Linked DNA regions of Drosophila melanogaster. The gene in region 1 interacts genetically with each later gene. Each region holds a gene or a part of one and is shown on either strand. Other genes may lie near its edges.

What was found.
Region 2: of Kr-h1 (region 1) and oc, changing one suppresses a phenotype caused by changing the other (phenotypic suppression), as found in Drosophila melanogaster (one study listed by BioGRID).

The regions. Positions count from the first base shown.
Region 1 is NT_033779.5:6,089,676-6,097,015, reverse strand, and holds Kr-h1 (kruppel homolog 1), read right to left. Parts: upstream 5,605-7,340; 5' UTR 5,448-5,604; coding exon of another isoform or gene 5,196-5,447; 5' UTR 4,917-5,195; coding exon 4,772-4,916; intron 4,022-4,771; coding exon 3,309-4,021; intron 3,224-3,308; coding exon 1,863-3,223; intron 1,779-1,862; coding exon 1,460-1,778; 3' UTR 518-1,459; downstream 1-517. Other genes in the region: CG45075 (uncharacterized protein), read right to left, coding at 5,196-5,447. UniProt on the Drosophila melanogaster protein: Plays a general role in the hierarchies of gene expression leading to metamorphosis.
Region 2 is NC_004354.4:8,647,640-8,652,562, forward strand, and holds the start of oc (ocelliless), read right to left. Parts: upstream 3,043-4,923; 5' UTR 2,736-3,042; exon of another isoform or gene 2,455-2,735; intron 1-2,454. UniProt on the Drosophila melanogaster protein: Transcriptional regulator involved in pattern formation and cell determination in the embryonic CNS and larval imaginal disks.

The sequences.
Region 1 (7,340 bases):
TTTGTGCCGGCTGCCTTATCTCTTATACTAATTGCAATGTTTGCTTAGTTGTATCATAATTTGTTTATCTCTCTAGCCACCGCAAACGAAGCCTTGCTCGTTTGGCAGCTTTGCCCGTTGTACATGATTTTTAAAATTTAATTAATATTTCATTTATACAAAGGCAGACAGGAAAACTGACTGCGTCTAGTTGAAGCAGTCAAATGAATTGTAAAACCATTTTTATAATCAAAATGTTAGCTAATCGAACTGTGGTGGGTTTAGCACACCATTCGTATAGTCACAAGTGAATGATATATAAAAATGCATTCAGTAATGAAATTTCGATGTTTTATTCGCATTCAATGAGGTGGCAAACATGGTAAAATATTCCAACGAGGGTTATTAACCTCCAACATTGGTGCATCTACATTTTCATCACCGAATTGGATCGAGTTACTTCATCTGCGATTTCTCAAGCGAAATGGGTAAGTTTTTTAAATTAAAACGCCCCATTAAAATACACATACACCGAATTGGTTTATTTCACGCTTGTTTATTGATTTTCAGATTTCATTTGCGTTTTTTCATGCAATATTTGATTTTAGAATTTAAATCTATGTATTAACTCTGCGTTTACAAAAACTATGCTGACGCTCTTAATTATATTTGTTATCTTCTGGTTTGAAAATGTATATAAACGTAGTTATGCTTGCTTTCTTCTTGTTTATCAGTTCAATATTCTCCGTGTGTAAAATTAAAGTTACCGATCCTTTTTCCTCAGTTTTCCCTTATTTAGTGTATAAAATGCATATAAAATGATGGGTACATGATGTCAAAGATGCCGTTGACACTAATCGTGGAGGGGAAGGAAGAAGTTTGGCGAGCAGAGTTCATAATAAATAAGTATTATATGTATTTTATAAATATTAAGCGCCAATATGGCCATGGTTTTTCGTTCTCATTAATATGTGTATATATGTAGTTATGCGCGTAACTTATTATTGTGTACGGTTTGGATTTGGGTTTGGGTTTGGGTTTGGGCGTCGTTAAGTGATCTTTTATATATAATTAACTTAGTTATATGCTAATGCTTAATACGCATAATGCCAATTGCTGCAATTTGACTAAGTGGACAACACAGGAAAACAAACTATACCTACATTGTATATGCCAAACTAAAATGAAATTTTGCAATATGGGTGAAACTATTTTCAAATCAAACATTCAACAAAACTCGGATCAAGCCAATAAAACGTAATAGGAGGTAATATTAATTTTAAAACAAATTTTTCCCTTTTTTAATACTTTTGGCATTTTCATTTTCGCTGCTGGAAAACTATCTCACTGCCATATCCATACGTTTCTATGCTTTCTTTTTCCAGGCCTAACCCCGAACCTCAGAGAAAAAACTTAGGCTAATTTCAGTTAGAATTTGTTTGGACAGTCTTAATGCTGATTGGGGATCGGCCTTGGACCCCTAGGAGGCCTTGGCGAACTGAATGACCGAGCTCATTCGCATCACCTTGGACCCGGGTCCATCCCCGGCGCCAACGGAAGCGGCACCACCGGCGGCGGAGGTGCCATCTCCGCTAGCCTTCTCCGAATCCACCTGACCGTCGTCGCCCTTGTTCATGTAGTGCTTGCGCTTGCGCAACGGCAGCGTCATCACGTTCCGGTCGGCCATCATCAGGGAGTCGCTCTCCGGCGAGGAGCTACGTTCCGGCGACTCCGTGCTGGAACGCAGGCCGATGGCCGCCTCCACGCGTCGCACAACGTCCGGATTGGGTAGAGCGGATCTGATGGGAATAGTAAGCAATTCGATTTAGTTATACTCTTAGACAAAAACACAAGCATCCGGCTTGGGGGACCAAAATACTCACTCATATTTGGGCACTGGTGCATAGCCCTTGTGCAGCCCGTGGCGAGCGAGATCACCACGCTTGAAGTGCTCGATCAGCACGGTGGCTTCATGGGTGTCATCGTAGTTAGCCGCTAGATCGCTGACGTGCAGAGTGGGCACCTGTGGCTGGTGGCTTGGCGCCGGCTGCTCCGTTGGGGGTAAGGAGCCGTGGCCGCGGCACAACTGCATCATTTGCCAGGCGGCTGCGTGCACATCCTCATCCTGCACCTGGTCATCGTTGTCGTCATGGCGACGCGCAATGCTGGCCGCTTCAAGCAGGGCAGGATTGATGGTTAGACCAGCGGGTTGTGGCTGCAGTTCGAGTAGACTTGGCGGTGCCTGGTAGTAGTCCACAGTGCTTTCTGGCAGCTGACCCTGGACCTGTTGCATGCTCAAATCTGTGGGCTCCTCGTCTGCATAGGTGCTGTGGGCGGGCTGGGCGCTGGACACGCCGCTGTCCCGGCTCAAGGCATCCGCCTCCATCTGGACGGGCAGGTAGTGGGCCGATGTGGGTGGTGGCGAGGCCATGCTGCTGGCCGATGGCGAGTATGTGGAGCTGAGTGAGCTGGGCGAGAGCGGCGAGGAGGTAGGGATGGAAAGGGTGGCTGCAACGGTTTTGGAAACGCGCGGCTGGCGAGCCTGGCGAGGTTTCTTTGTGGCCGGTGGCGAGCTGGGCGGCGAGTGGTTGCTGCTCTCGGAGTTGCTGCTGACTCCTTGCAAGGACGGCGATCCGGCGGAGGAGCCTGCGGACGTTGATGCTGCTGCCGACGCAGCCGCCGCCTCCGCTTCGTCGTCGGGTACTTCGTTGGCATGGCCCTTGATGTGGGCCTCCATCTCCTTCTTGTTCTTGAACGTCTCGTCGCAGATGGTGCACTTGTAGCACTTGGAGCCGTAGTGCTGGACGCGATGCAGTTTCAGCACATGATTGTAGCCAAAGTCCCGGAAGCAGATGTCACAGTGGTAGGGCTTCTCGCCCGTGTGCGTTCGCGAGTGCACCTTGAGCTGCTTGGAGCAGGTGAAACCTTTGCCGCATCCCGGCTCCGGGCACTTGTACGGCTTCTCGCCGGTGTGCGTGCGCATATGGATCACCAGCTGGCCGGACTGGATGAATGTCTTCTCGCACACGGAGCACTTGTGTGGCCGCTCGCCGGTGTGAATGCGCATGTGGCGGTGCAGCTTCCCGGAGTGTTCGAATGCCCGTCCACAGACGTCACACTTGTACGGACGCTCCTTCGTGTGGATGCGCCGGTGCACCTGGAGGTTCTCCTTCACGCTGAACAGCTTGTGGCAGAACTCGCACTCGAATGGCCGTTCACCAGTGTGGGTGCGGTAGTGGCGGATCTAAAAGCGAAGGAGATATATTACTTATTAATATCACTGATATGGTGGTCCAAATATTTCAAATCTCTGTTTTCGTGACACTTACCAGCCTGGCGGGTACGGCGAATGTTTTCTGGCAAACATTGCACTGATAGGGATCTGCTCCGGCGGCCACGTTGGCCAGCGGCTTGATGGTGGGGCTCTTGGGAATGCCCACCGGCAGACCGGCATCATTGAGCTCGATGGCCGCGGTTGAGACGGGCGCAGCAACGCCGGCTCCAGAGGCGCCATTAAGCGACAGATCTTGGTTCTTCGAGTGCGACTTGGTGTGTGAGGTGTGGGCGGACTTGCTGCCAAAGGTCATGCCACACTGGTCGCACTTGAATTGCGGTTTGCTGGCGCTGGGCTTGCGCACCTGCGACACCACGGCTGCCGACGCTGGGAATCCGCCGACGGGCTCTGTCTTGATCCGCTGGGCTGATGGAGCTGCTGTGGGTGCTGCGTTCGTAATACTTTCATGTTGCTGCTGTTGTTGCTGCTTCTGATGCTGCTGGATGGCCAGTTGGTAGCTGACAAACTGCTGCTGCTCCTGCTGGTGCTGGTCCTGTAGCTGCAGTTGCATTTGTCGCTGCTGCGGCGTCTGCAGCAGCTCGAAGTGCTCCTGTTGGCCGCCGGATGGCGGAACTCCTAGGCCCACGCTCGTGGTCGTCGCTGTTAGTGGAGGCGGAACCTGGAGGCAGAACTGCGCCTGACTAGATTGTTCCGTTTTTATAAGCAGCTGGTTGGCGGAATAGTAAACCATTTTGGTTGTGGCTGAATCTGGAAGAGGGCGAAAAAGAAGGAGCCGCATTAGATTTTTGACCATAGTTAACTAGTTTGATACCTGACCAAAATAGTTGGTTCTAAATAGACTTAAGTAATAATACAAGAAATTATAAATTAGATACTGCTTATTAGTTATATTAGCAACCTATTGTTTGGTTTTTGTGGTTCTACAAAGCCAGCTTAACCATAGTATAAGGTCTAACTCCTTTGCCCCCCATCAATTCACAATCTGCGTCTCAGGAAAAACACGGAAGCAGATAGAAAGTGCAATACGGGTGGTTAGGAAAAGTCTCGTAAGAGCCAAAGGAAAAAAGGGCGTAAAGGGGAAAACCCACCCCGTGAATTTGTGCTACGCACTTTCTGTTATTGCCGGCCGGGGTTTTCCAAAATAAGGAAAACCTAGCGAGAGCTTATGGGGGGAGGAAAAGCGAAGGCGCAGGAGAGTGAGAGCCAGAGGAAATGGGAAAAATTTCATTGAGAACCCTGCCTCGAAAATGTCCCACTTGGGATATTTGGGAGATAGCATTACGAATCGTACGGTTTCCAACCGGCATTTCCCGTTGCCATCCTGCTCGCTCGCACTTTCTGTATCAGTCGCGCTGTTGTATTTTTTTTTTTTTTTGTTATGATAGTATGAACGAACCCCACAACTTCCCCCAAAACAAAAATTGCGTATACCAAAACAAAATGGCGTCGTGAGGGAACTTTTTCGGTCTGAATTTTTAGGAAAAGCATCTCAATTACCTTTCGCCGGCGATTTTTTGACGGCAACAGCCTTTGCGGGACTCTTGGATATATCGAGCAGTTCCGTGCCCGATTTCTTGAGAACATCCTTAATCCAAATTTGTTTGGGTGCCCAAGATTTTGTATCATTCTTGCTTTCAGTCATCTTGCTACTGCTCCATACAGGTTTTCCTCCTAATAATACTTTTTGATTGTTCAAGTCAAATCATTCAATTGTAAGCAAGTCTAATTTATAATATAGTTTATAAGTTTGAAGAGATCTTTTCTTATTCAATGTGTATACTTGTAAATTTATTCATTGATTTGAGTTTACAAAATCAGACTTTAGCGCTGAACTCGTGTCAGTTTTTCAGTATCAGTCCCTCGATTTGTATATCAGCAGTCTTAAGATTTATTCATTCATTTAGCTCGTCTCATGACATTTTTAGACAAGGATTTTCATTTGACGCGTGATTTTCTCCTTGATCAGGTTCTTCTTGATGATTTTGATGATTTTCTTCAAGTCCTTCGACTGTTGCACGGGATAGGTGTGTTGGTAGTGTTGCATATTTTGCGGAGGCTGCTGTTGGTGCTGATGATTGCGGTATTGGTGGTGCTGACCGCCCTGGCCCGAGCCCTTGTTCATACGCATTTTTCTGAATGATCTCAAAATATCGTTCATTGAAAAGTCGGTCATTTTCGAGGTGTGGACCACACACACACACACACACACAAGCACACGCACACGCACAACACCCGTACAAACAACACTTAACGGAGTAGAATGGGATTCAGATTATGTTCACATCGCCGCTCCCGAGGTTTTCGGTTCGATGGTGTAACGGAGACTGGTGGGTGAGTTCCCGAAAAATCTGCCTCAAACCCTGTCACGGAAAAATCAACCACCACCAACAAGAATGGTCCCATTGGATCTGAAATTTCCCTCAATTGGAAAATGTTTGAGTGCGATGACAAGGGAAATTTTCGAGTGTTTCTTTTTTTTTTGAGTTTGAGTGGTTTCGGACTTTTCCGATGACATTCTCTTTTATGGAGCACCAAAATTTCCCCGAGCTCAGGGAAATTTCATTGGTATCTAAGTTATCTGCGACGTTTATTATTTCAGACTAATTGAAAATATGTACATATACAAGCATTGAATAAACTTTGAACTCTGAAGTGATTTCATTTAAGTGATGTAATTAGTTGGGTTTTCATTGATAAGATTCTAGCATTTGAGTCATAAATGCAACGAATTAGGCAATAAGTTCTGATAGTTCTTATCGCAGTCTTATAGTTATTATTCTTTAAAGTACCAAAGTCCAACTTGCTTGCCACACTTAGCATACCAATTAACTAACAATTGCGGCAACTATACGTTTAGAGGCTACAAAATCTCAGGGATATATTTTGAGCAGTCCATCTATAGAAAGCCAACGACCAGTTTCCACCTTCAACAAGCGAACATTTATAAGAAACCCTCCCAAAAAACAGAATGAGCACGAGAAGCAAATGTTGAAATACAAAAGTTTCGGTGAAGGCAGGTTCAAAAAACTTTATCGGCTTTCGTTGTTATTGTGTCTGAATGTTTATTCGGCTGGCTGTGCGTTAAACTAGCGCAAAAGTTCATTAACATTCGACACAAAAACTATTTTTGAGTGAGTGCGGTGTTGTTGGAGGGCAGAGAATGATCACCGATCCCCCGATCCCCCGATTCGTGCGCTCGTGCTCTTTTGGGTTGCCCGACCAAAAAGTTTCTGAAGGTATGAACGACACAATATTTTTTGAGGGGGAAAGACACAATTATCTCTTATGAGTTGCTTCCCAAAACGGGGGGCAGCTAGAATGGGAAAAACGAGGGGAGGGGATTCAGCTGCGGTTCGGAAAAGTTAAAGTGCCGTTATTTTGTTGGGATAGCTCTGAAATAAAGCGACTTAAAACTGGTCTTTAATGGAAGTGATCGCCGTGTTTGGATAGATCAGTAAAGTTGCTTGGCGGTCAGTATGAAAGCTAGATACAAACAGATACCAGATTGAACGTGAAACGCTCAAACGAAACTAAACTAAACTAAAAGAAGTATTTATATTAAAATTATAATTAAATTCACTTCGGTTCACTTCCAAAAATACACCCTATTTACACATGCATAGCTATTTTACACGTGGAGATACATACGCAGAGATACAGATACATAAATTGAGTTGGTTTGGATTCGGTGTTGCTTTTTGGTGTCTTCTTTGTGGACTTTTGATGGGGTCATTGAACACTTAAATATAAGCAAATTGTAAGCTTTTCACTTCGCTTCCCCCCTCGAATCGGATTTTTTTATAAAATTACTTCTGCTCCCGTCGAGAGTATCTATTCCAACCGGAGGATCGCGTTAACATTTCACATACATATTCTAGCTAAGGTTCGATGAGCCCCGATAAGATAAGGCAATATAACACGACACGTTCGCCGTTTTTCAATTCATAGGATGTCCCTCAATGAAATTGTACGCTAAAGTTAGGGCTCTAGGCAGACTTATCAAACGAGAACTATCAACAGCGATAAGATATTGAAATTAAGCGAATGAAATTGGAGTGACTGGAAA
Region 2 (4,923 bases), on another chromosome or scaffold:
GACCAAAAATACAAAAAAAAAATATATTGTACATATCAATAATAGACTAATAGAGTAAAGAGCTCCAGTCGAATCGCAGCACAAACAAAAACAGCAAGAAAAACAACGACAGCGGCTAGAAAAACTTATTATTTGACGCATTGTCAATGTGATCTTGATAAGTCGAAACTGGAAATGGAACCTGAAGACTGAAAACTGAAAACTGAAAAAAAAAATAAACCTCCGTCTGAGTGATTTCTATTTAAATGGCTTTGTCAACGAAATTTGAGAAGCGAATAGCAACAACACCGCCAGTATCGCGTAATGAGCAAAGAGTGAAGAGAGATAAAAATTAATAATACAAATAATTGGTAGGCAAAAAAAAAAATTGGGAGAAAAAAAGTCAGTAAGTGCGTCCAAGTCCAAGAAACGCTGGATGAAATGAAATAAACTGAAACGAAATGAAACCTCACTTAAGGCGAGGCGACGCCACAAGAGATTGACAAAAGATGACGACAAAACAAAAAAAAAAAAAAGGCAACACCCGATCTCCCAGGTACGAGCATATATATCCATACCCATGCCAAGTGTGTGGGAGTTCGAGTTGATCGCAACCAAACCGATCCGAAAGATTTGGGGCGTGCTAGGGAAGCGGAACAATGGATACCGTTTCACAGTGAGCGAAAATATGCCCACATATTAAAATATAACTCAAAAACCACTATGGAATAGGCTAGAACTACTAGTATTGTTCAATACTTAATCAATAGTACAAAATATGGAATGCTAACATATTGATAAATACTATTAGTTGTAATATCTATCACATCATGTCCCACAAGCATATCGAACCAACGTACTTCCAATGAATTCTTGATCTAATGTTTAGCTATGCCATTGCTATGTGAATCTACAACTTCGAGTACTTTTTTTTTCAGTGCTTCCTAGAGCGAAATTCACTTATTCGCTGAGCTTTATGGATATCCGCGATAAGGTATCAAATGTGTCGCGACGCGATCTCGGCGACTTTCAATTCACAATCGACAACGCTGGGCGGATGTTGTGAATGAATGAATTGGCATTGGAAGATTGGTACATTGAGGTATTGTGATACTATGGGGATCTAGGCAGGGCCAGCAAGCACAAGCGTGGGTGGGACCGAATAGATCCCAAGAGATCCCCACCAGCTTCACCAGCTACACCAACTGCACGAACTCCGTATCCGAATCTGAAGCCGAATCCGAATCCCATTCTCAACACTTTGATTCGAATGGAGAAAGACTATCGGAATGGGAGAAAAATGAATCGACTTGCATATTTAATATTCAGTTGCTTTATGTTAGAAAACCATATGCAAATTAATAATAAAGCAGAACAACAAAGTAGCCAGCGAGGAGTCAACGTATTATTCAGATATTTTAATTTATAGCCGCCGCTTTGAAATTAGACGATCCGATCGCTAACATCGGGAAGTGGGAATGTGGTGATGTGGGGATGTTGGGAATATGTGTGAATAATGTGACCCGAACGGGTCCGTCGGCTGTCTTCTATTGTATCTAGTATTGATTTTCTTGGGGTTTCTTCGCCGTTGGCCCTATCATTTTGTTAGCCTTTTTTCTATATCACATTTCTCGTATCGATTTGGTCGGCTCTTGCTGGCTTCTTTTTGTTTTGCCTAATTAGGGGAGGCGGCCTTAATATGCCCATTAAAATTATGAAAATCATAACGAATCTCCGAAACGCGCATTTTCTCACATTACGATCAGCACATTAGTCATAGGCGGAAATTTCCTGACCGAAACCAGATTTTTAAAAAAAAGGCTCCATCATATCACGAAGAGCTGAAGGAACTGAAACAAAGTTTCGGGCATGGAATAGGTAACTCTATTGTTGGACTTGGGAGTCCCCGAAATCAATGAATAGTATTCCAATTAAAGACTTCTAAGATCCATTGAATCTGAAGCTAAATAAAGACTAGTATATGTGGCAAAATAATATCGGTTGATTATAGCATTTGGAAGAACATTTTAACCTTGTAAATATATGTAGAAGTGTAAGTGAAAAACAAAAGATCTGTCAAGTTCGGCTAATCGAAAATAGTGAACCAAACATATTATAACATATCTCTAAAGTCTGAGCTTTATAATGAAGAATGAAGATTGGCTCAAGAATAAAGTTGAAGCGATAACGAAAAAGAAAATAATTAAGCTTTACAGCGTGTTAGATCTTTCAATATTATTCCAAGTTTAAAGAGTGTATTTCAAATATGTCATAGATAATGTAAGACTTGTGACCTAATATCTCTGCTAAATAAACAAGTTGATAAGAGTAATCCCTAAGATAGATTCCCGCTCCCCCAAAAACTACTTAGGTCTACAGATTCCCCATGTAATCCGTGCTTATCTCTCGGCTCCACATTCCTTGCTGGATATATAGATTGCTACCGATTTCTCGATATCGGCGGATCGCACTCACCGAAAAAAAAACACAAACAAAACTAGAAGCAAAACGGTGCTGTATTCCAATGGTGACTTGTTTTCGGATCCAACTACTATATGGTTATGGCATGAGTATATTTTACACATGCATATATATAAAGATATATATGTATATTTATATATATATAAATATTGTATTCCAGAGATGTATGTTTTTTGGGCGATGTTTATGGTTTAGCACTGGCAACACGGTAAAAAAACAGATTCTCGTCACTTGGCACTGCGTTATATCCAAAAGGATATATCTCTCTGTATTACTTAGTATTCTCCTCTGGGGCTCTTTGTTTCTCTATAGCTGTGTTAGCTATAGCTTCTCGTGTTGATATTTGTTTATTTGTGTTTGATTGGTTTAGTTTGCTTCGATTTGATTTGATTCGGTTTGGCGACGGCGAATTGATTGTTGTTATTGGCTTGCGCTGGTGCTTGCTTGCTTATCGGCGAACGCGGCGAGTGGCGAGAGCGATCGAACGAGCGGCGAACGGGGCGAATGAGCAACTGAGCAACTGGGCGACGGACGACGCACAAAAACAACCCGAGCGGCACGAAAGTTACTCTGGAAATGAATTGCGGTACACCTTCCACGGACGATGGCAGCGGCGGCAGCAGCGCAGCGAGCAGCGGGCAGAGCAAAAGTCGTTCGACCAGAGTCTGCGAAAAAAGAAAAACAACAAGAAAAAATGTTGGAAGAAGAAGCAGGAAAAAAACAACAAACAAACACCAGCGGTGGTGGAAACGAGAGGGAGAGCGAGTGAGTGCCTGCTTTTAGCAATGGCTGCCCGGCTCTCTACCGCGCGCCAGAGTGAGATAGCCGTAGTTTCGCTCCGTTCCAGTCGTTCAGTATTTCGCTCTCTCTCTCTCTCTCACTCTCTTGCGGCATCTCTCTCGCACGCCGCTTACAACCTGACTGAGTGGGAGCGAGACAACTGCTGGTGGTACCGTTTGCTGAGCAGCTGTATTTACCGCTGTGTTGTTGCTGCTGCGCGTGTGTGTGCGCGCGTGTATGAGCGTGTGTGTACGTTGCTGGTGTGCGTTTGAGTGTGGGACCACACCCCAAAAAAATTCAGTTCAACAACTTTGTTGTTGCCACAAGAGCAAAAAACGAGGAGCAAAAAATACATAGTCATAAAAGGAGGAAAAAAAAGCAACAACGTACCTTCGTATTTTTGCGCGGCAGCAATGAAATTTTAATGAAAACGACAAGACAGCGAAAACAACGCAAAAATTTGTTAGCTAACAGCGAAAGATAAGGAAACGGGGGTAGGTGGCGACGGGCGTTTAAAGGACGCTGGTCAGTACCGCTACTTTTGCTACTGCTGCTGCTACTGCTGCTACTGCTTCTTCTTTAGCTTCCTCCTCTTCTACTTCTGCGTCGCAAATTGCCATGCACACACAACACCAGCGGCGAAAGCGCGACAGGGATGGGGAGAGCCAGCCACTCACACTTGGCACGCCCCCTCTCTTTCGCCCCAATGGGCGGCCCCCATTGTTCAATTATCATTTACGCAAAGTGAGGCGAAAAGAATCGAAACTTAAGGTGGATTTGGGTTTAAAGTCTAGTTTGCTATTCGTGGGCTAAGAATTGCTCAAAAGAGGTCTTTAATAAATGATTTCAATAGATATAGCTATTATAATTATGATTTAGTTTTGCAAAGCGGTTTTGTTAGTTTTAATTTTCAACTAGCTTATAATTATTAATTAGCTTATTTATAAATTCTCTACCATGGCAGTCTAACTGTAAATGATATTTTCGAGCAACCAACACTTTTTGTGCCCAAACATTTTTTTCTGTTATATTTTTGCCTTGTAGCTGACGCAGGAATAAAAATTCGCAGAGTTGGGTGGTTTGGGGGAGCAGCGGAAAAAACCTTATCAAATTTTTATGACAATTTGAAATAGCTGACGACAGTTGTTTGGCCATCTCACTCGCACTAACGGCCCGCAGGTTTGGGCGGCGAGAAAATGTTGCACAAATATTTTATGGATTTTTCTTGTTGAAATTGCTGTGTGCTTATTATTTTTTTTTTATCCAGCTACCGCACTTTTCCCATTTCCAGGCGGGCAAATTAAATTGTTGCGGCTAATTGATGTGTAGATGAAACATGAGGCAATTACCCTTCGAGGGGAAAAGCTTAGCGCACAAATTGGGACTCGGACACAACGAACGGGAAATCTCGAAAAAAAAATTGTACAGAGAGCCCGAAATGAAATAAAACAAAAACCTAATTTTCATGAAAAATGTTGCGGGGAAATGTAAAATGTTTTTGGAGTAAAATTCACGGAGGCAAAAACTGCGCGCAAATGAAAAAGTTTTAGTTAGACAAAAACTGTAATTTACTTACACAATTTACAAATAGTTAATTTAAACTTTCAATAGGAAGTTTGTTTTTTTTTTCACTTCAATTTCAATTGTGAAAAACCAAAATTGAAATAAGACTTTAACAATTAT